Arabidopsis thaliana: one gene and its partners. The protein of the gene in region 4 interacts with the protein of the main gene of each other region in a biochemical or structural test. Each region holds a gene or a part of one and is shown on either strand. Other genes may lie near its edges.

Evidence for each region.
Region 1: the proteins of MYB90 (region 4) and GL3 form a complex in vitro, tested with the Arabidopsis thaliana proteins (2 studies listed by BioGRID).
Region 2: the proteins of MYB90 (region 4) and TT8 form a complex in vitro, tested with the Arabidopsis thaliana proteins (one study listed by BioGRID).
Region 3: the proteins of MYB90 (region 4) and EGL3 form a complex in vitro, tested with the Arabidopsis thaliana proteins (2 studies listed by BioGRID).

The regions. Positions count from the first base shown.
Region 1 is NC_003076.8:16,527,407-16,533,810, forward strand, and holds GL3 (basic helix-loop-helix (bHLH) DNA-binding superfamily protein), read left to right. Parts: upstream 1-1,683; 5' UTR 1,684-1,891; coding exon of another isoform or gene 1,892-1,893; 5' UTR 1,894-2,026; coding exon 2,027-2,172; intron 2,173-2,513; coding exon 2,514-2,795; intron 2,796-3,374; coding exon 3,375-3,471; intron 3,472-3,568; coding exon 3,569-3,640; intron 3,641-3,960; coding exon 3,961-4,794; intron 4,795-4,878; coding exon 4,879-5,313; intron 5,314-5,388; coding exon 5,389-5,460; 3' UTR 5,461-5,881; downstream 5,882-6,404. UniProt on the Arabidopsis thaliana protein: Transcription activator, when associated with MYB75/PAP1, MYB90/PAP2 or TT2. Involved in epidermal cell fate specification.
Region 2 is NC_003075.7:6,179,872-6,187,029, forward strand, and holds TT8 (basic helix-loop-helix (bHLH) DNA-binding superfamily protein), read left to right. Parts: upstream 1-2,009; 5' UTR 2,010-2,195; coding exon 2,196-2,332; intron 2,333-2,551; coding exon 2,552-2,803; intron 2,804-3,184; coding exon 3,185-3,281; intron 3,282-3,469; coding exon 3,470-3,484; intron 3,485-3,566; coding exon 3,567-3,623; intron 3,624-5,307; coding exon 5,308-5,554; intron 5,555-5,638; coding exon 5,639-6,390; 3' UTR 6,391-6,652; downstream 6,653-7,158. UniProt on the Arabidopsis thaliana protein: Transcription activator, when associated with MYB75/PAP1 or MYB90/PAP2. Involved in the control of flavonoid pigmentation. Plays a key role in regulating leucoanthocyanidin reductase (BANYULS) and dihydroflavonol-4-reductase (DFR).
Region 3 is NC_003070.9:23,597,469-23,603,679, forward strand, and holds EGL3 (basic helix-loop-helix (bHLH) DNA-binding superfamily protein), read left to right. Parts: upstream 1-1,944; 5' UTR 1,945-2,182; exon of another isoform or gene 2,183-2,335; 5' UTR 2,336-2,340; coding exon 2,341-2,459; intron 2,460-2,647; coding exon 2,648-2,920; intron 2,921-3,468; coding exon 3,469-3,565; intron 3,566-3,670; coding exon 3,671-3,742; intron 3,743-3,824; coding exon 3,825-4,562; intron 4,563-4,683; coding exon 4,684-5,103; intron 5,104-5,194; coding exon 5,195-5,266; 3' UTR 5,267-5,696; downstream 5,697-6,211. UniProt on the Arabidopsis thaliana protein: Transcription activator, when associated with MYB75/PAP1, MYB90/PAP2 or TT2. Involved in epidermal cell fate specification. Negatively regulates stomata formation but promotes trichome formation.
Region 4 is NC_003070.9:24,762,228-24,766,058, forward strand, and holds MYB90 (myb domain protein 90), read left to right. Parts: upstream 1-1,713; 5' UTR 1,714-1,824; coding exon 1,825-1,945; intron 1,946-2,462; coding exon 2,463-2,592; intron 2,593-2,674; coding exon 2,675-3,173; 3' UTR 3,174-3,314; downstream 3,315-3,831. UniProt on the Arabidopsis thaliana protein: Transcription activator, when associated with BHLH12/MYC1, EGL3, or GL3. Promotes the synthesis of phenylpropanoid-derived compounds such as anthocyanins.

The DNA of each region.
Region 1 (6,404 bases), on a different chromosome or scaffold from region 4:
TATTACTTCTTTTTTTAATTAGTTCCGTTTATATATATGAAAGAGGTCTTACAGAGGAGCCTTAATGCTCAGATACAATCAAATAAGATAAACATATAGAGACGAGTGTTCTAGTAAGATCAGTAAAGATGTGGTCTAATTTTGTTGGAAATTAGCAAACCATAGCGAAAGATAGGAGTCAGGAGATGGAGTTGTTGAAGTGAAGATGACGTCTTGATCCAAACCAGCAAGGCTTCATCGGATTAGGAGTTGAATTCCCCATTTAACTTGAGTTAGTATTCTGATTGAAAATAACAATATATATTAGTGTTACATAAGTTTGGATCAGACAAATTTTATATTGTTGTATCGAAAGCTATACCAAATTTCCTAAATATTACCCTCAAACATCAACACATCCGATTAATTTACCGAAACCTCCGATCAACAGCACTACGAATGTTTAGACTTTGATCTTGTAGGGGACCGAACGTGTATATATATTTTAATGTTTTCTGACGTCAACGTCTCTCTCTTTTCTAGATGTCAGAAAAGGAAAATAATAAGTACTAATGGTCCATTTAGCAGGGTTTTATTTAAAGTTATATTTTAAATAGTTGCATAAATACTTCGAAAATATAGGTTTAATAGTATAAGAGAATTTTGAAATATAATAATATTGTAAGTATATGACTATAGGGAGAATCAACGTCGAAAATGTCCATAACATTTTTATTCATTTTAAAGATGTGATTGCAAAAATTAAGATTGTGTCTGTACGTATTGGGGGAACTCCTCGAGGCCAAACATTAATTTCGTGTCTTTCTTTGTGTTTCCCAATTTTAGTAAAGACTGTTCTTATATTATCTCTTTCCTCCTCAATTTATCTATTATTGTGTTTGTGACTATAATTTAGATTCATAGCGATTAGCTTCGTTTTGACACCAAGTAAAAAGCTGATGATTTTACTATTATTATATATGTTAATCATATACTCTGATTTGAGACATTATACTTTTGGTCGTTTTGTGTACTTTTGGAAAATTCATAAAACGATGTTACTCACCGACAATAATATATTTCGATCACTCAAATAGTAATAAGACTGATTAGATTATACAAAATGAAAGAAATCATACGATGCTGGTTAGATTGGACTTGGATCACATGCTAATGGTATTCTAGTCAACATTGCTTCAAAGATCTAATAGTCAAGGAAACAAATTTTTTTTTTTTGGTATCAGTGGGGATATTAAGTGAGGGAAACATTTTTTTTCAAGAATAGATGGGTGAAAAGTTCAGCCTTGACGTGATAACATTTTAACTTTAAAATCAGTGTTGGAAGAGACACACAATGATTCAATATTCCCAAAAAAAAGAGATCTCTAGAACCACAAAGAGACTGAATAGAGAATTTATTGAAGACAAGACCACAACAATGGACATTGTAGTTCATTGTCTTAAAAAAAGGTTGTTCTTCCCAAATGAGGAACTAATCAATCAACTTCAAGATAAAAAGAGGAACAATCAATCAACATCAGCGTTTTGCTTTTTTCCTCTACTTTTGTATCCTTTTTTTTTCTCATAAATCATTAAAAAATTATAAGTACTTTTTATTTTCGTCATAAATGTCTTGTGTTTTGTTCTGTACACAACAAAGATGATATCGTCATATTCAAAGAAAAAAAGGATTCGTAGACAGTTCTTCTAGTCTTTCGAGTTCAAGCTCAAACAACAACAAAATTAATATTCAAAACAACATTAATAAAAAAAAAGTATGGAGTGACCAAAGAAAAAAAAAACTCTCAAACATTTCTCTGTTTGTTCCGGCGAAAACGGCAACTGTTTCATCAAATGACAAACACAAAAACCTTAACATCTAGTTTGTATCCTCTCTGATACTTCAAAAAAAATGTAAAGAGTTACAAGTTTCCCTTTTTCTTTCTTTTTTAGGCTATAAATTTAACATAGTATCTTATTTCTTTCTAAATCAGGACAAAAAGTTTGATTTTTTTCTTTTCTTTTCTTTTTCCCTGTGTGTGGTTTCATGGGATATAGGGATGAAGAAACAATGGCTACCGGACAAAACAGAACAACTGTGCCAGAGAATCTGAAGAAACACCTCGCAGTTTCAGTTCGAAACATTCAATGGAGTTATGGTATCTTTTGGTCTGTCTCTGCTTCTCAGTCTGGGTAAGTTTCTTAAATCATATTCATTGAACACTAGATATTGGAGATTTTGAAAGATATTGATGAAGTAAATTTCTTGATTTTAATTGGAAAATTAGATAAAACTTATGTGTTCACTTCAAATCAAAACTAGTGTTTAGTTCTACAACTCAAGACAAGGTTCTCTAGGTTTTTCTTGATTCCATTGATTTTTTCTTATAAACTCATATAAGGTTTCTTGATCTTCTTTAAAAGTTCAATTTTTTTTCTCTTCTTCTTGAAGTTCTTGATTAGTTCAAGAAAATGTTTTGTTTGTTTTCTTTATTCGATTTGATATTTGTTTTTGTTTTTCTATATATAAAAAGAGTTTTAGAATGGGGAGATGGATACTATAATGGAGATATCAAAACGAGGAAGACGATTCAAGCTTCGGAGATCAAAGCTGATCAGCTTGGTCTACGGAGGAGCGAGCAGCTTAGCGAGCTTTACGAGTCTCTCTCCGTCGCTGAATCTTCTTCTTCAGGCGTTGCTGCCGGATCTCAAGTCACCAGACGAGCTTCCGCCGCCGCACTTTCACCGGAAGATCTCGCCGACACCGAGTGGTACTATTTGGTTTGTATGTCTTTCGTCTTCAACATTGGTGAAGGGTAATTCCGTCTTTTCCTCTATCAGCATTGACATTTATTATGTGTCATGATCGTGTTGATCTTTGCCAGTTTTAAACAACGTGCCAAAATATACTTTTAATACTAGTAGGTCCAAGGATTTCGACTTTTATGGTTCAGTTTAGGTTTGTTAGATTTCAGGGTTCTGCAGGAAAAAAGTATGAGCTAGAACCAATTTTTTAGTTTCAGTTTGGTTTCAAAATTTAATGTCCGGATTTGGTCGGTTTCAGATTACAAAAGAAAAAGTTAAAACATAATTAATTTTAAATAATAATGTGTATATATATGCATTAGTATGTTTAACTCTATTCTACATCTAATAAATTTTATTAATTCGGTTTGGTTGCAGTATATTTGTGTTCGATTCGAGTTTAGTTCGGTTTATTTATCATCACAAAAGTTTGTTTCTGTCCGGATTAATTAAAAAATTCGTTTCATTTTGGTCTTTATGAACACGGCTAATTAACTTTCAATAATTATGAATATGTTAGGAAGAAAAAATGTGGAAAAATTAAGCTTAGAATGCATTGCTGCTTTCTAAATGAACCTGTCTTTTTGCAGAATGCCTGGACGGACGTTTGCAAACGGTGAACCGATATGGTTGTGCAACGCTCATACGGCGGATAGTAAAGTGTTTAGCCGTTCTCTTCTAGCAAAAGTAAGTTGTAGTATTGATGTAGTTGCTATGTAACACTTTTTTGCGATTTGAAAACACTAAAATCGTTCGTTTTTGTTTGCGTTTTGTGGTGGTTTAGAGTGCTGCGGTTAAGACAGTGGTTTGCTTCCCGTTCCTTGGAGGAGTCGTTGAGATTGGTACCACAGAACATGTAAGCCAATATTTGTGTTTTCTGCTTCCAATGTTTTAGAATAATTATTATGAAAATCCTTTATTAAGAAAAAAAGAATAATTATAAAATTACCACAATGTATTCTAACATTTCAATTTGACCCTTCAATCTGTCGAATAACGGTATAGACACCAAGAACACACAAACTAATATTTTAGTAGTCTCGATTTTTAAAGATTTCCACGGTTTGGTTATGACAAAACGCGAAAATACGGCTTTTGTACTTTTTACTAGCTCGTTGGTATAGTTATAATTGAAAACTTTTTCAAGGCTTTTTCTTGGTGTGTTTCGTCTCGTAGATTACGGAAGACATGAATGTAATACAATGCGTGAAGACATCATTCCTCGAAGCCCCTGATCCGTACGCTACAATATTACCAGCAAGATCCGATTATCACATCGACAACGTTCTTGATCCGCAACAGATTCTAGGCGACGAGATTTACGCGCCTATGTTCAGTACGGAGCCTTTTCCAACAGCTTCTCCGAGCAGAACTACCAACGGTTTCGATCAAGAACATGAACAAGTAGCAGATGATCATGATTCTTTCATGACCGAAAGAATCACTGGAGGAGCTTCTCAGGTGCAAAGCTGGCAGCTCATGGACGACGAGCTTAGTAACTGCGTTCACCAGTCGCTAAATTCCAGCGATTGCGTCTCTCAAACGTTTGTTGAAGGGGCGGCTGGACGGGTTGCTTACGGTGCAAGAAAGAGTAGAGTTCAAAGACTAGGGCAAATTCAAGAGCAACAGAGAAATGTGAAGACATTGTCATTTGATCCAAGAAACGACGACGTTCATTACCAAAGTGTGATCTCAACGATTTTTAAGACCAACCATCAGTTAATTCTCGGACCGCAGTTTCGAAACTGCGATAAACAGTCAAGCTTCACTAGGTGGAAGAAATCATCGTCATCATCATCAGGAACCGCCACGGTCACGGCACCATCACAAGGAATGTTAAAGAAAATTATTTTCGATGTTCCGCGAGTGCACCAGAAAGAGAAGTTAATGTTGGACTCACCAGAAGCCAGAGATGAAACTGGGAACCATGCGGTTTTAGAGAAGAAGCGCCGCGAGAAATTGAACGAACGGTTCATGACCTTGAGAAAAATCATTCCGTCAATCAACAAGGTATATTTATATAATCGATTCTTCAAAATTTCAAATCCATATATATCGCGAGGTAACTAATCTTATGTTTAACATTTTCGATAGATCGATAAAGTATCGATTCTTGACGATACGATAGAGTATCTTCAAGAACTCGAGAGACGGGTTCAAGAACTAGAATCTTGCAGAGAATCAACCGATACAGAGACTCGTGGGACGATGACGATGAAGAGGAAGAAACCATGCGACGCAGGAGAAAGAACATCAGCTAATTGCGCAAATAATGAAACAGGAAATGGGAAGAAGGTGTCGGTTAACAATGTTGGTGAAGCCGAGCCAGCAGATACCGGTTTTACTGGTTTAACCGATAATTTAAGGATCGGTTCGTTTGGTAATGAGGTGGTTATTGAGCTTAGATGTGCTTGGAGAGAAGGAGTATTGCTTGAGATAATGGATGTGATTAGTGATCTCCATTTGGATTCTCATTCGGTTCAATCCTCGACCGGAGACGGTTTGCTCTGCTTAACCGTCAATTGCAAGGTATACTCTCTAACCTACTTTTGGCTTAACCAGGATTTGGTTAACCTAGATTGACATGAAATGTGTTGGTTTCAGCACAAGGGGTCAAAAATAGCGACACCAGGAATGATCAAAGAAGCACTTCAAAGGGTTGCATGGATCTGTTGAAGACTACTTAGTTAAAATTGACAGCAAAGAAAAAACATTCCCGGTTTGGTTTCTATTCTTTGGTTTTCTTCTAACCGGGTTTTAGGAATTAATGTTATGTTTATCATTTGTTTTTTGTTTTTTTTTTGTGTCTTTTTTTCCGTTGCTTAACGTAGGTGAAGAGGAACATACACTATGCGTATTTTGTTTGAGGTAGATTATTTTAAGGGTATTAGTAATAGTAATAGCCAGTTTAGATGATTTTGTGTTCTTTTGTTGTTTAAGCACAAGGTTGATGTGAAATTACGGGGAAAAAAACATTAATGTGTAAATGAAAATTAGTGGTCAAAAAGCTTCACACGAAACGGGAGAAGATTCTGCATTTTGGCATTTTCATGGATAACAAAGAGGTAAAGTTTATGATAAGAAATCCAGATTAATTTCCTTAACTGGGTCATAAATGATTTCATTGAAATAACATAGTGAAAATCAACAAAAATAAATGCTGTAATATCTTATTTTTACAAATTTAGAGGTGTTGACCAAATTACTTTCTAATTTGCTTTATGTAATTTTACCTATCTAGTCATGTCTTATTATGTTTTACTTACCAACTCATGTTATTCTTTTCGTTTAATATCAAGGATATTTCAAACCCAAACTGAAAATAATCTTCATATATTAATGGAAAACCAGAGTACTCTTATCTTATCATTTAAAATCTTTGTGTTGACAAAAAAATCTTAAACAATAGTATAAAAACATGAATCTTATTCCTTTAAATTCTAAGGTGAATTCTAATTTACTTTCTAATTTGTGTAAAAATATAAAATATAGAAAAATGGGTAAACTTGATTATCAAGAAAAAGATCCAAATTGGAAAGCTAAAATATTGTTATTTAGAAGGTAGAACCAAAATTAATGACTAAAAATATTTTTCTTTGAATAAAATATACCTCATATGG
Region 2 (7,158 bases), on a different chromosome or scaffold from region 4:
GATGAGCTAATAAAGCATCACAGCAATAAATTTTGTCTATCTCCATCACTTACACCCTTTTTTTGTAGATAATGTAATTTCTTCCTCAAGATCTGAAGAATCATAAATCACATAGTTTAGTCAATGTTACAATACACACGACTAAAAGAAAAATTACAAAATTTTATTGATAGAATTTAAAATATACCACTAGACACTAGACTTTTGTCTTTTCATTAGTCATTACCGCTTGATATTTTTACTATCTTACGCATGTTATGAAAGATTATAAAGCTTAGGTTTTGGGTAGCAAAAAAGGGTTAGGAAAAAGAAAACCATACTATTTGTTATCCGAAAATGTCAAACTAATTCCTCTAACTGTGGTAAAAGGTTATAAAATCAAATCCTCTAGATTGATGTAAGTGATTTTTAAATCGTTATTCGGTCAGATCACAAGTTAATGATGAACTTTTCAGGGTTCAATACATGGCGATTTTAGCCATGGATCCCCAACGGGATCATGGGATTACGGTCCAACTGACCGGTTTGGACCGGGTCTTAATATATTGAACAAAATACAAGAAATCTCTCATTCACACGAATGATTACATTTCAGAAAAAGAAAGAAAAAATAACTCAAAAAACTTCACACCAATTTGCATCACACTATATTACCCATTATTTTTCTACAATTATGTGGTCCACTTTTCAAATAGTTCACTCTCATCATAAACCGGCCGGGGTCCTTCAAAGCTCATGCAGTTGTGCGTTGTAAAGATATATTGTATTCCAACAACTAATTCTTGCCAAAACACTTTTGGCTAATGTCATTTTCATTGAAAACAAAGCATTATAAATAGGAATGATTTGTCATTTCTGGAATGGAAGAACTTGGGTTTTAGTTAACATTTGTGCCTAACCAACCTCTCGTTTATGTACTAAAGCATTGTCCTTGTGATTGTGAATAACCAATCGCTCATTTCTGTGTTAGAACAGTATTGTTTATTTTCTGTTATTTGAATCATTTCCAATGAGAAATGAGTTACATAACACCTTTATTTATAAACACAAAGATGCACACAAGGAGAAGCAAAATCAATAAGAAGAAACCACTCCACGTGGCCCGTCGTCAGAGTTACATAATTGGTGAACGACTAAACTCAGAAGAAACAACATGTAATAAGAAACACAGAAGCAGAAGCAAAAGCCAAGCAACATTTATTTTGTCGACAAAAAAGCCAAGAAACATTCAATGTTGATTTTGTCTAAGTAACCAGGTGTACATACATTACCCTTAACCATACCCAAAATCGTATGTACTACGATATGTGTACGTAACAGTATCTATCTACATTTATATTTTATAAGACATTATTAAATGGGAAACTTATAGTGGCTAGTGGCTGCTACTTGGCTAGCAATTAACATCAATAATTTAATAACTCAAATGTGAAACATCTCATTCTTCTCCTTTATTACACCAAACCATTTCTCATTCTTTACTTACCGGTCAGGTCAACAATTCTACCATTCCCCATCTTTGGTTAAGTTTATCTTTTCATTTTAAAGAAAATATATATGAATGTTCATCCAATAATTCCAACTTCTTAAAATTGTTAATGAACATTTTAATCAATATATAATTTTAATATCAATTTTATAAATAATAGAAATGTGAAAAACGCAATTTCTTTGCTCCTTGTAGCAGTAACACAAGTCAAAGCAACATTTGTTTTCATTTGTTTGTCAGTTAGCTATTTTATCTACAATAATATGTTATGCTTTCTGAACAATAAATAAATATAGCATTATTAGATATATTCATTCTGTATTTTGATTTGTCCAATTAGTATATGACACGTCTACAAGATACATAGATCTTTCATTATTTCACTTTCTCATCCAACGTCTGGTGAACCAACCATTCAAAAATCAAAAGTCAACTTTTAATGCACTTGAGTTTTGGTCATGCATTCATATACATACATATATACATAGAAGTCATTACATGCATTATACTTTACTTATGTCAACATGTTGCAAAAGCACTAAGATGATATACGTATACATGCATATTGCAAAAATCAGTGGTCCCATACCATTTTAAGTCATCATGAGCGTATGAGAGTAAATTCTTCTCACATATTAATAACAACCCTTCAAAGTTATAAGATTTTTAGAGAGAGAGCTACCACGTTTTCGTATCTCCGGGAACGATGGATGAATCAAGTATTATTCCGGCAGAGAAAGTGGCCGGAGCTGAGAAAAAAGAGCTTCAAGGGCTGCTTAAGACGGCGGTTCAATCTGTGGACTGGACTTATAGTGTCTTCTGGCAATTTTGTCCTCAACAACGGTTAGTTTCTTATCTCTATAGTTCATTCATCTCTCACAATACAACCATAATATCTATATCCGTATATATTATGTAAACTATATGTTTAAATGAATTCGGCTAATTGTTGGCTTGTCGTAGTGTTACAATTCGATCTTGAAATAATTTTTTTTTTTTTTGAAGGTTTTACAAAATTTATTAAGATTTTTGAACTACTTATATGAAAGTATCATTGTTTAGGGTCTTGGTGTGGGGGAATGGATACTACAACGGTGCAATAAAGACGAGGAAGACAACTCAACCAGCGGAGGTGACGGCAGAAGAGGCGGCGTTAGAGAGGAGCCAACAGCTCAGGGAGCTTTATGAGACACTTTTAGCCGGAGAGTCAACGTCAGAAGCAAGAGCATGCACCGCATTGTCACCGGAGGATTTGACGGAGACAGAATGGTTTTATCTAATGTGCGTCTCTTTCTCTTTTCCTCCTCCATCTGGGTAAACAACTCTCTCCCTATACTCAAGTTTCTAAATTTGTTCTTTCTTTTTTTTCCTTCTCTAAGTGAAGACAAAAATAGTATTGTGTGTTAAATGCGAATATCGAAAATATTGTGTTGACATTAAAGAGAAACTGAGGAAGTTGAGTTACTAGAATAAGAAAGAAATGAGAGTTAATGAAACGTACACACACTACATTTTCATGAACATTATTGCGACCGTTGAGATTCTCATTGTTTGGTGATTGATTATCTAAAGTAGAAGCATGAATAGATATAACATAAATGCATAACAAAATGGGTTAGTTATGGGTATACTTCATGCTTTTCTCTATGTGGTAAAAAAAAATCAAATATAAATTTGGGAGGTAGTAATTTGTAGGATGCCAGGAAAAGCGTATGCAAGGAGGAAGCACGTATGGCTAAGTGGTGCAAATGAAGTTGACAGTAAAACTTTTTCTAGAGCTATTCTCGCTAAGGTAAATTCTTTTATTCATTCACCAACTATACTATGCATCTATTTTTACCTATTTATGTATACACTATACTATGTATCTATCTACTTGTAAACCTATTTATCTATACTTTTATACATTTTCACTGATTAACTTGAATAATTCTTCTTGTCGTTTTATGGGCCTTTTACGTCGGTTCCTCAATGACTTAGAGTGCTAAAATTCAGGTAAAATTTGTCTTTATTAGTTTGCTCTTTTTAGTAAGATTTGAGAATTGTATTCTGATGAAAATGTATTTTAAAAAAGCAGACAGTGGTTTGCATTCCAATGCTTGATGGTGTTGTGGAACTAGGCACAACGAAAAAGGTAACGTTGTATATACTCTCTCTTTTATTTACTTGTTAATGAAATATATAAACAAAATAACAAAGTGAATATAGCCTATCTTTCTTTAGGTTTAGTAATGTTAAATTAAGGAGATGCACTACAAAAAAAAGGTTGTTTTACATCATTTATTATAAATATTTGCATTAGTTAAAAGTGATGTAAAAGAATTTTGTATCACTTAAATAAGTGACTTAAATATTGTTGATGCAAATAATTTGCATCAGTTAATTAGTAACTGATGTAAATAATCAAAATAATTACATCGATTATTATAATTGATATCAATATTGTATCAGTTACTAAAAATGATGTAATGTTTACATCAATTTATTTAAGTGATGTTAGTATTTGTTTCGGTTTAAATAACTGATTTAATTAATATATATATAATTATTAATACAATGTTATTAATATTTCAAATAATTATTTTATTTATTTCTTTTTTTTTTTTAAATAACAGATCATTGTGGATAATTACTCGTTGGAATATCTACTAAAATTTTATCAAGATTTAATAAAATATTTTACATGAACAATAAATCTTTATATAAGATAAGCAAAAAAATAATCATAATTTGGTTTTGGTTTCTTCGTGTTTAAACACATCTTTCTTCTGTTCCATGCTTCTTCCTTCCATTAACTGTTGGTTCTTCTTGAAAAATACCATTTCTTCTTCTATGCCATCTCTCTTCCATTTACAGAATCAAAATCATACTTTGGTTATAACTTATATCTCTTGAATCCTCATCACACTTGAGTTTCTGCTGTACAAAATAAAAAAGAGAGTAATTGTTTGAAAATTTACAGAATTGTTTTGGTCGGAATAAGAATAACCATTTGTAAGTATTTTTAAAAGAAAGTGATAGAGTACCTTTACTTTGTGTTTCTCCAAACTGTGTAGGAAAACAAACAGTCCTAATGATCAATGGCAGATTTCTGAAAATAAAAGAAAAGAAAAAAACTGAGCAATGGTTAAGAAAAAGAGAAAGATAGAATGATAGAAAAATAAGAAAGTACTTGTCGTTGAAGATGAAGAATTGAATGAGAGTTATGAGATTTCAAAAACTAATTTGAAGATATTCTAAAAACGTTTTTGGATACAAAACTGTAAAAAAAGATCGTGAGCGTAAAAGCAGGATTTATAGTGAAGGAAACAAATATATTTAGTTAGCTGATTTTGAGGGAAAATATAGGAATTAATAATAAATTATTAACCCAATATGATTATTTATTTATGGTAATAACAATTTCTCGTCATCTACAATAAATTCAAGTTAGTTTTTTGTTTAAATTAAAATACAGAAAAACTTATTAGCATCACTTCTTATTGATGTATAATTTTATATCATTTTTATAAACTGATGTTAATAAAATTAAGTGAATACATCGGTTATTTAATTGGTGTAAATACAGATTTTTGTATCAATTTGTTAAAATGATGCAAACTAATACAAATTTCTATCAATTTGATTAAAGTGACGCTAAACATGTTAATTTATACATCACTTATTATAATTGATGTTTAATTATTTATTTTGTGTCATTTGCTTATAAGTAATTTAAACTTGTACCATTTATACTTGTGATACTATTTAATTGATGTAATCTATCCTTTTTTTTGTAGTGATGGATCAATATTTATTTGTTGTATTTGTGTGTGTAGGTAAGAGAAGATGTAGAGTTTGTTGAGCTCACAAAGAGTTTCTTCTATGACCACTGCAAGACGAACCCAAAGCCGGCTCTTTCTGAACACTCCACCTACGAAGTGCATGAAGAAGCCGAAGACGAAGAAGAAGTAGAAGAAGAGATGACAATGTCAGAGGAAATGAGGCTTGGCTCTCCTGATGATGAAGATGTTTCCAATCAAAATCTACACTCTGATCTTCATATTGAATCAACCCATACGTTAGGTATATATATCTACCCTAAGCTACTTATATTTTGCGGATTTATTTCGCTATATCTAAGAAATTATCATTTGTATATATATGTAGACACACATATGGACATGATGAATCTAATGGAGGAAGGTGGAAACTATTCTCAGACAGTAACAACACTTCTCATGTCACACCCCACAAGTCTTCTTTCAGATTCAGTTTCCACATCTTCTTACATCCAATCATCGTTTGCCACGTGGAGGGTTGAGAATGGCAAAGAGCATCAGCAAGTGAAAACGGCGCCGTCGTCACAATGGGTGCTCAAACAAATGATCTTCAGAGTTCCTTTCCTCCATGACAACACTAAAGATAAGAGGCTACCGCGGGAAGATCTGAGCCACGTAGTAGCAGAGCGACGCAGGAGGGAGAAGCTGAACGAGAAATTCATAACGTTGAGATCAATGGTTCCATTTGTGACCAAGATGGATAAAGTCTCAATCCTTGGAGACACCATTGCGTACGTAAATCATCTTCGAAAGAGGGTCCATGAGCTTGAGAATACTCATCATGAGCAACAGCATAAGCGGACGCGTACTTGTAAGAGAAAAACATCGGAGGAGGTGGAGGTTTCCATCATAGAGAATGATGTTTTGTTAGAGATGAGATGTGAGTACCGAGATGGTTTGTTGCTTGACATTCTTCAGGTTCTTCATGAGCTTGGTATAGAGACTACGGCAGTTCATACCTCGGTGAACGACCATGATTTCGAGGCGGAGATAAGGGCGAAAGTAAGAGGGAAGAAAGCAAGCATCGCTGAGGTCAAAAGAGCCATCCACCAAGTCATAATACATGATACTAATCTATAGACCCTAACTTTATTGATGCCAACTCTAGAGAAGGATAATTAAGCGTATTTTTGTTTTAGCCTCACATGTATTAAGACATCAGTTACATATATAGCCGGATGCAACATATAAATGAAAATGTACTAGATGATATTGTTCATTTGTCCAATGTAGTACTTGTGTATGATGCAATTGCAACATATAAATGCAAATGTACTAGATGACGATGTTGTTCGTTGTCCAATTTAGTACTTTTGTATGAATGCGATATTTGGATGCAGATTCAGTTGCATCTAAAACATCATATTTTTTTTGATGCATAAAGATGTAGAATTTCTATGTAGTTTTTTCTTACGTTCAAATTTGAGAAAATATTATTAAAAAATCTTTACAAAATTCATTAAAATAATTTATGCCAAAATTTGTATGTCATAATTTATGTAATTTTATCATTAACCTCAGATTAGAGAAATCAAAGAGTTTATATAAAACATTACATTCTACTTTGGTGCTCAATTTTAAGAATCAAGTTGTAGCACATCAAATTACGAAATCAAATTTTCCAGCAAAATTACGAAATTGCGTTTTAGTGTAAGAATCAACAATTTCTAGAGTAGACTAATAGTTATACTCATAATTAGTGTATGGAAGAACATTTATAAGTCAAGAATATTAAGCTATCAACCAACGAGATAAATGTATTGACAATGTTCATAGTTGCAGCATGAGCTATATATATTTTTCTCTTAGTTGATCATCATACATTATCAAAGCTGCAAGATGTGTAAC
Region 3 (6,211 bases), 1.2 Mb from region 4:
AATCAAAATCATAGAGAGTGGCTCGCGCTGACAAAGTTATTAATGCTAAATTAAATAAACTGGACCCCAAAAAATGGACTGTTCGATCACTCTTTTTTTTTTTTATCAACAGTAGACTCTGTTCCGTGCAATTAATGCGAGCATCTCTTTCATTTTACTTTTTCAATATTTTGTTTTTATTTCTATTGTGTGAAGAATTTATTTATATTTTCAGTCTCGATAAAACAATGCATCATCATCTGCGGCGTTAGATATTATAATGAAAGATTTATTAGTTGTGTACTAGCTAATGGTTAATATGTCATATGTGTAACAAAATGAGGTGTATATTTAGTTTGTTTTTTTGTTTTTTTGTTTTTTGTCCAATGCATTAGAAGTACTGTCCAGAATTGTAGTATTTCACTACATTTTTATAGTCAAATTATATATATTAAGCAAAAGTCAAAATGACCCTTTTTGAGCTGAGAGCCGGAGACTATAGGCTACAGAATCTAATGTTTGCGTGTGTTCACGATGACCACAGTGTAACTAGATGACATATCTTTTAGGAAAGTAACGAAAAAAATAATCAGCAAAGAAAAACTATTTAAGAAATTACTGAAAACACAGACGTTCACGTTGATATAAATGTACAAATCTTCATTTATCAGGTTATTATGTTTTATGAATCATACAGTTAGTACATGAAATAAACAATATCTGACTCCGTTTTTCAACGTACAGACACGACAAGTAGTCCTAGTTAGGGGTGATAATTTTGGGAGATGCGAAGAATTAATTAAGAGCATGCACATAGCATATGATAATAATGACTCTTGGTTTCTTCTTTATTAATCATCTCATTTAAATATCATTTTCTCGTGATTTTGATCAACATAGGTTGTTACATAGCTAAACCCATTATCAATCCCTTACCTTAGAATTGAAGTCAAGGAAGAATACTAAACCTTACATTATCTTTAGATCCCAAATTCACTCGTTCTTGATAACCTTATTGTCTAACTCCATATATAATTGGCTCGTGTACGCATCTTTAATACAAATAATTTACGAGGTTGCGATTAATTAAAATGAAGGTGCATAGAAAATTAATTAGCAATTATACAAATGTTCTATGGTATTTCCGAAGATTCGAAAACAATGTAGAATATATATATTCAATGAACATAGTATATATTATATTTTAGTTAAACCATACAACGTAATTTAGTCAATACTAGAAGCTTGTCTCTCTCTCCAGGGTATCTCCTCGAGGCATAACATTAATTTCATGTCTTTCTTCGTGTTTCACCATTAGGATTTGTTCTATCTTAAAATCAAGTTAATATTTGTGTATATATTTGACCAGTAAGGCAGTAACATATAAACATTGCTTATAAGGGTGGCAAATTGGTTTGGTTGGATTTGTAAGTGTTATGCCTATGAATTTTTTTTTTGGTTCAAACTCTGCTTAAAGTCTAAAGACCTATATTATGAGTTACTAAAAAAAGTTATTTCCTCCGTTTCAAAATATAAGATGTTTTAAATAAAAATATAAAAATTAAAAAATCAAAATATAAGATGTTTTAATTAAAAATATAAAAATTAAAAAATATTTTTTAAAAAATTCAGCAGATTATAAAAGCTGATGCATAATATAAATATGTATACAATATTAAATTAATCTATAATTTACATAAAAACTTGAAAATATTTTATATTGTGAAACAAACAAATTTCTTCAGAACATCGTTTATCATGAAACGTAGAGAATAGGACATATCATTGATAGAAAAAAGATTTTAGAGATGGAAAAATAACTAATTTCTCTTAACAAAAATAAATTTCCAAAAGGAGAGTGGTGCTTGGAACACCGTATTCAAAAGGGTTATACACTAGACACTACTTTTTTTTTTTTTTACCATCTTGTTTTATATATATTTATTTAAAATTCCTCGTAAAGTTCAGTGTTTTGTGATTATATACAGTGTACACACACCTAAAATAAGTATCCATAAAGAGATTTGGTCATTCGGACACCGTCCTTTTCTCTCAACTCAAAGCTCAATTCAACCACAACAGATAGTAACTTGAAAGTCACAAATATTTAATATTTTCCCATTATAGAAGGTTAAAAAAAATAAATATATTCTGGGTTTTGTTGTCTTCTTCTTTCTTCCTCAGGAAACCAAACCAATGTCATGTAAAAATCACTAACTCATGACTAGTCATAACCTTTAAATCACTTCTGCTTTTTTTCTGTTTCTCTTTTGATTTATTCAAAGACAACAAAGTTTTGTTTTTGACAAAAAATCTGATCTTTGTTTGTTCGTTTGTTTGTTACATGGGGATGAAGAAACAATGGCAACCGGAGAAAACAGAACGGTGCCGGACAATCTAAAGAAACAGCTCGCAGTTTCAGTTCGAAACATTCAATGGAGTTATGGAATCTTCTGGTCTGTCTCTGCTTCTCAACCAGGGTACAATCTCGTAATCTTTATCCTTCAAATTAACTTTTCTTGAAAATAAAGTTTTGTTTGAGACATTCTTGACTTTAGTCCAAAACTCAGATAAAACTTTATCCTTACTTCAAGATTTCGATTTTTGTTATGTTTTCTCGATTAATCCAATTTTTCTTGGCTATCTTTTTTGTTTTCTCTAAACGAAGAGTGTTGGAGTGGGGAGATGGATATTACAATGGAGACATAAAGACAAGGAAGACGATTCAAGCAGCAGAAGTCAAAATTGACCAGTTAGGTCTTGAGAGAAGTGAGCAGCTTAGAGAGCTTTATGAATCTCTCTCCCTCGCTGAATCCTCAGCTTCCGGTAGCTCTCAGGTCACTAGACGAGCTTCCGCCGCCGCTCTCTCACCGGAGGACCTCACCGACACCGAGTGGTACTACTTAGTATGCATGTCTTTCGTCTTCAACATCGGTGAAGGGTAATTCCGTCTCTTCCTCATAATCCTTTCATTTCACCTTTTTTAAAAACAAAAACCTATCTTTCAGAAAAATTTCTTTTATGAAGAATATCGTTTTTAAATTATAGTATTATTTTATTCGTAGACATTATAAGAAAATGTAAACGATACCAAAATTCTAAAAAAAAAGTATAAGGGTATGTTTTATTTTGTCTCATAAAAAAAGACAAGAACACCCTTTATTAGCTTGTCTCCTTCATTTCTTCTTCCATGTGAGCTTATTCAGAAATCCGACATGTACGAGTTTAATTATTAACAATGCAATTATCCTTTATATTTACTTAATTTTTTTTATGTTTGTAGGTTTTTTTAAAGTATACCTCTTTTTAATCTTAGAAGACATACATAGATAGAAATGCGAAAGCACAACGGAAATAAGTTTTTACTTCATTTGCATAATTGCATTATACATTTGCTATTCAAAGAAAGTAGTAGAAAACTTTTGTTCCCATTAAGATAAAGATTTTGAGATACAAAACATAAAGGGTATTTCCGTCTTTCTAATGTAGAATCCCCGGAGGAGCGTTATCCAATGGAGAACCAATATGGCTTTGTAACGCTGAAACCGCCGATAGCAAAGTCTTCACTCGTTCTCTTCTAGCTAAAGTAAGTTTTTTGCAATTGGAAACGCTAACGCTAGAATTCAAGAACGCTATAACTGAAAACGCTCTTTTTTTTTTTTTTTTTCGTTTGGCGTTTTGCTCTTTAAAGAGTGCTTCGCTTCAGACAGTGGTTTGCTTCCCGTTTCTTGGAGGAGTCCTTGAGATTGGCACGACCGAACATGTAAGCCTATATTTCCTATTTTTTTTCCAACACTATCAAAACATTCTTAAAAGTACCCAAAACTTATCTTTTGTTCTTTTAGATTAAAGAGGACATGAACGTGATACAAAGTGTTAAGACGTTGTTCCTTGAAGCTCCTCCATATACTACAATATCGACAAGATCAGACTATCAAGAAATTTTTGATCCCTTAAGTGACGATAAATACACTCCGGTGTTTATAACCGAAGCTTTTCCAACAACTTCTACTAGCGGGTTTGAGCAAGAACCTGAGGATCATGATTCGTTCATCAACGATGGTGGTGCGTCTCAGGTACAAAGCTGGCAGTTTGTGGGTGAAGAAATCAGTAACTGCATTCACCAATCGTTAAATTCAAGCGATTGCGTTTCCCAAACGTTTGTTGGAACAACCGGGAGACTTGCTTGCGATCCAAGGAAGAGTAGGATTCAACGGTTAGGTCAGATTCAAGAACAGAGTAACCATGTAAATATGGACGACGATGTTCATTACCAAGGCGTGATATCGACGATTTTCAAAACAACGCATCAGCTAATACTCGGACCGCAGTTTCAGAACTTCGATAAGCGGTCTAGCTTCACAAGGTGGAAGCGATCATCATCTGTGAAAACATTGGGAGAGAAATCGCAGAAGATGATAAAGAAGATACTCTTCGAGGTTCCTTTGATGAACAAGAAAGAAGAGTTGTTACCGGACACACCAGAGGAAACCGGGAACCATGCCTTGTCCGAGAAGAAACGCCGCGAGAAATTGAATGAACGGTTTATGACATTGAGATCAATCATTCCCTCAATTAGTAAGGTAACCGATTCTAGCAAATCTGTTTCAGTAACGTTTTATGTTTATTTCTTGATAATAGGAAGACATGTTTAAATATAATGCTCTGAAGGAACTAAGCTTGAGTCTCTTGCTGATTCTACAGATTGATAAAGTGTCGATTCTTGATGATACAATTGAGTATCTTCAAGATTTACAGAAACGGGTTCAAGAGTTGGAATCTTGTAGAGAATCTGCTGATACAGAGACACGGATAACGATGATGAAGAGGAAGAAACCGGATGATGAGGAGGAAAGAGCATCAGCGAATTGTATGAACAGCAAAAGGAAGGGGAGTGATGTGAATGTAGGAGAAGATGAACCAGCTGATATCGGTTATGCTGGTCTAACGGATAACTTAAGGATCAGTTCATTAGGTAACGAGGTGGTTATTGAGCTTAGATGCGCTTGGAGAGAAGGGATATTGCTTGAGATAATGGATGTGATTAGTGATCTCAACTTGGATTCTCACTCGGTTCAGTCGTCAACCGGAGACGGTTTACTCTGCTTAACTGTCAATTGCAAGGTACAGTCATTAAACCAAGCTTGATTTATGTTACTCAACCGGAATATGAGCAAACCGAAATGTGATATGTAATGTTTAATGTTGATTGCAGCATAAAGGGACAAAAATAGCAACAACAGGAATGATCCAAGAGGCACTTCAAAGGGTTGCATGGATATGTTAAGGATTCAAGGTTTAGATTTGACAAAATTAGCTTTTTCTCTGGTTTGGTTTCCCAATTTTCGGTAATCAGTGATTCTAACCGAGTTTTTGTGATTTTGAAGTTTTGGAAGATCCTTAAGAATTCTTGAAAAATCGTTCCTTTTGGCTCATTACGTAGGAGAAGACAATAAGAAATTACTTACTTAGCAATTAGCATACTATGAAATTCAATTATGCGAAATATGAAAACCACTCGTAGTAGTTCGTGCACTATCATTTTTAAAAGTAAGTAAACTAGAACTTTTTTTTTGTTGTTGAAAGTAACTTTTGTATAAGTATTTGTAACGAGATCATATTTTGTGACTAGTTCAAGTTCGACCAAAAACATTATAGTAAAATCTAAAGAGATACTACATAGCCCGATTCCAGTATCTTAAGTCTTCAATCTCACTTCAAATATTCTTTATATGTTTTTAGAAAAGTTATGTAAGAAATTAAAAAAATATTTTTAGAAAAGTTAAAGATAGAAATGGTGGTCAAAAGCTGATAAAAGTGTTCGCAAAATACACTGCCTTATAGAGAAAAGAAGTAATGTCATTTCAAATAATTGCATCTAACGCCACTGAGATCTCACTTCAACATGTGTTACCATTTTAACATTAACTTTTTATTTCAAAAAGAAAGGAAGAAAATTGTAAGCACAAGGACTATACTGTATTTGGATTTCGTTTGGTAGCATCAAAGTAACACTCTCATTTTAGTAAGAGGTTAACTTTATTGAAAATACACATAATGTGGGGTTAGAAATTGTGTTGAACAATTTCTTGATTTAGAACGAAACTTAAAAAGAGTGGAAATTCTTTAATGGGTTGGTTGGCATGGTAGGTGGCCATTAAGAAGATCCATGAATTGGTGAAGTTGAGGTTTATATCATGTATTAGCCTCGGTATATAGTGTGTAAACCTTG
Region 4 (3,831 bases):
GAAATATGTGCATCATCAAAAATATTTAATCATAGAAAATAATTAAATAATTAAATCAGATGATAAATGTAATCAAATAATATATATTTTTCTTATAAATTTTACGTCCACGCATAGCATTGATTAGAACCTAGTACTATGTGGAAAGTTGTAACTTTTAGTTATTTGGTTTAGCTTGTATGTTACATTGAGAGTTACATATATAGTAGTAACAACTAGTGGAGACCAAAAGAGGTCGACGATGTCGAGACAAAAAAGAATGTGAAAAAGTATAAAATAGAAATGAAAAAAGATTGGCAGATGAAAGGGAGTATCAAATTATTGTGGGAATTGAAGTCGCTTCTATCGGATAACTACACGACTAGGTATTGCTTATGCAAATAAGCTATCTATCACGGCACATGAGTAGCCCAAGATGTTTTACTTCAAGCAGGCTAAGCGATTTATACGCTACATTAAATGGACCACAAGCTTGGGGTTGTATTTCAAATCCAGAAATGAATTGGGCTGGAAGCATGGAAGATATTAGAAGCACAATGGCTATGTGTTTCATGCTTGGAAAATTTGTTCTCTTTGCAACCACGGAAGCAATCGATCATTGCATATTGACATGAAATGTGGATATCAAACATGCACGCTCTTCTTGTACATATATAATAGCTCACATACTCTCATTGTCAAATGTCTTTCAAGGATTTGTGTAAGCCATAGTATGTATACCCTCTTCATCAGCAATTTACTTATAAGTTTTTAAATAATTTGGTTGTGATACTTTTAGTGATTATCTTTGGTTCATGGAGGCTTCTTCGTCCACTGAGTTGAAGAAAGGTACATGGGATGGTGAAGAAGATAGTCTCTGAGGCAGTGCATTGATAAGTATGGAGAAGGCAAATGGCATCAAGTTCCTTTAAGAGCTGGTATATATACTATTGTTGTAAACTATTGAGTCACTTATATTGATTAGACACAAGTTTATATTCCTCACACACAAATCTAATTTATTTACATAATGTAATTATCCAATACAACTTGTTCCAATGCAAGCTTAGATGGTCACCGATTGCCGGTAGATTGCCTGGTCGGATCGCTAATAATGTCAAGAATTACCGGAACACCCATCTCAACAAGAAAGAAGAACCGTGTTGTAAGAGCAGAATGAGAAAGAGGGAAACTACATGTTCAGCTACGTCACCGATCCAAAGACTCAATGTTATAAAGCCTCGAACTCAATTCTATAACGGCCGGCTCAACGGGCAGCCAGAAGTTAGCTCTTTCAAAGTAAGCATTAACAAATATGGTGGTATCAGATTCACATGTAACAATGATAAGACGAAATATGAGTTTGTGAACATTATTTGCAAAATTTTCAGTAAAGAAAAATACTCCAAAAGTTTTTGTAAGAAGGTGCACCCTATTTTTTTTATTTTGTTCTATTTCTCGTGCATGAAATAACTCTTCCTTGTAATCATGAACCCTCTGAGACCAATCATTACTAGTCCTTTCTCCTAATTTTGATAAGAAACGTGTAATTTGTTTTTCTTAAGTACTGGAAAAGGTGCTATGAACTTTTTCTCTAGTCAAATCAAACAATAACTTAGTAAATTAAGCAGAACCGCAAATACATGAAATGTGGATATCAAACATGCACGTCATTTTCCTATGCCCTTCACGTGTATATATATACCTATTCGCTCACATGCTCACATTATCAATAAGTCCTCCCAGGATTTGGGAAGCCACAATAACCCCCTATTCCTCGGCCTTTTTTAAAAAAGTTTTAGAATAATCCGATAAAATACTTTTATATTAATTTTTCTTTGGTCCATGGAGGGTTCGTCCAAAGGGTTGAGGAAAGGTGCATGGACTGCTGAAGAAGATAGTCTCTTGAGGCTATGTATTGATAAGTATGGAGAAGGCAAATGGCATCAAGTTCCTTTGAGAGCTGGTATGTTACACACACAGATATATTCATGACTAAGAATATTCTCTTCTCTATATATAATATTCGGAAATCTTTATTTTACTTTTCTTTTTGTTTTAAGGAGCAAATTATTGATTCATATGCTAGTGTATGGTAAAACAAAAAAAAACAAAAAAAACAACTGGTTATTCAGAATAATTCTTTATGCAGTTTATTTAAACGAAGAGTTTTATATAAATAAAAAAGTTATACTATTTTTTATTTACGTAGCATATATATATATATATATATATATATATATATATATATAGCTTATTCTTCACAAACAAGGAAGATGCTAAGCTCATGTAAAGTTGTTAAACTATTTCACTGGGCTGTCTTCTGGTGAGTGAAGTCAGTGAAAATTTATGAACAAACGGTTACTGTGTTGAAACAGTTTAATCTTTCTATTGGTGTGCTTAGATTCTTCAAGATGAAACATAGAAAATGACCCAAAAGCCGTCTTGGTTGGTATAATTAATGTCAACTATTGGTTATGTAGGGCTAAATCGATGCAGAAAGAGTTGTAGACTAAGATGGTTGAACTATTTGAAGCCAAGTATCAAGAGAGGAAGACTTAGCAATGATGAAGTTGATCTTCTTCTTCGCCTTCATAAGCTTCTAGGAAATAGGTATTGTTTACTTTAATGGTTATTTCAAGAGCCATAAGTTCAACACTAATAACTTATATGTATATTATTTAACAATGTTTAGGTGGTCCTTGATTGCTGGTCGATTGCCTGGTCGGACCGCTAATGATGTCAAAAATTACTGGAACACCCATCTGAGTAAAAAACATGAGTCTTCGTGTTGTAAGTCTAAAATGAAAAAGAAAAACATTATTTCCCCTCCTACAACACCGGTCCAAAAAATCGGTGTTTTTAAGCCTCGACCTCGATCCTTCTCTGTTAACAATGGTTGCAGCCATCTCAATGGTCTGCCAGAAGTTGATTTAATTCCTTCATGCCTTGGACTCAAGAAAAATAATGTTTGTGAAAATAGTATCACATGTAACAAAGATGATGAGAAAGATGATTTTGTGAATAATCTAATGAATGGAGATAATATGTGGTTGGAGAATTTACTGGGGGAAAACCAAGAAGCTGATGCGATTGTTCCTGAAGCGACGACAGCTGAACATGGGGCCACTTTGGCGTTTGACGTTGAGCAACTTTGGAGTCTGTTTGATGGAGAGACTGTTGAACTTGATTAGTGTTTCTCACCGTTTGTTTAAGATTGTGGGTGGCTTTTCTTTCGTATTTTAGTAATGTATTTTTCTGTATGAAGTAAAGAATTTCAGCATTTTAAGAAAAATGGTTATGTTTCTACGTAATAAAAAAAAACGTTATTTATATTTTTCGCAAAGAAAATACAGTATTTTCCTAAATGCAGTATTTTCTAACTAAAGTTAAAGGTGATAATGTTTGTTAAAATATCACTCAACCTAACCATAGAAAATTCAAAAGCATAAGAAAGTTTTAACCATGAAAGATATGTCTTATGGCAAGTAGACATGGTGGAAGGTTGTATGGTAATGTGGTATTTCACAAGCATAAGAAAGTTATAATTAAGATCTGTTTGGTCTAACCGTTAAAATAATAGCTAGTTTAAGTACAGTAGTAAACATAATTATTTAATATTATCTTACAAAAATTATTTGATTGATACAATAATGGAAGCAAGTAGGGTTAGGAAAAATGGATACACTATTCGTTCTGCAACAAATAAATGACAATGTACTATTGTAGTACTTGTAATTGTTTCCCTCCCCCCCCCCCCCCACCACACACACACAGACACACACCACTCTCCTGAATTAATTAGAGTAGTTATATGAAATCATATATTAATTATTGATTATGTTTGCTCAA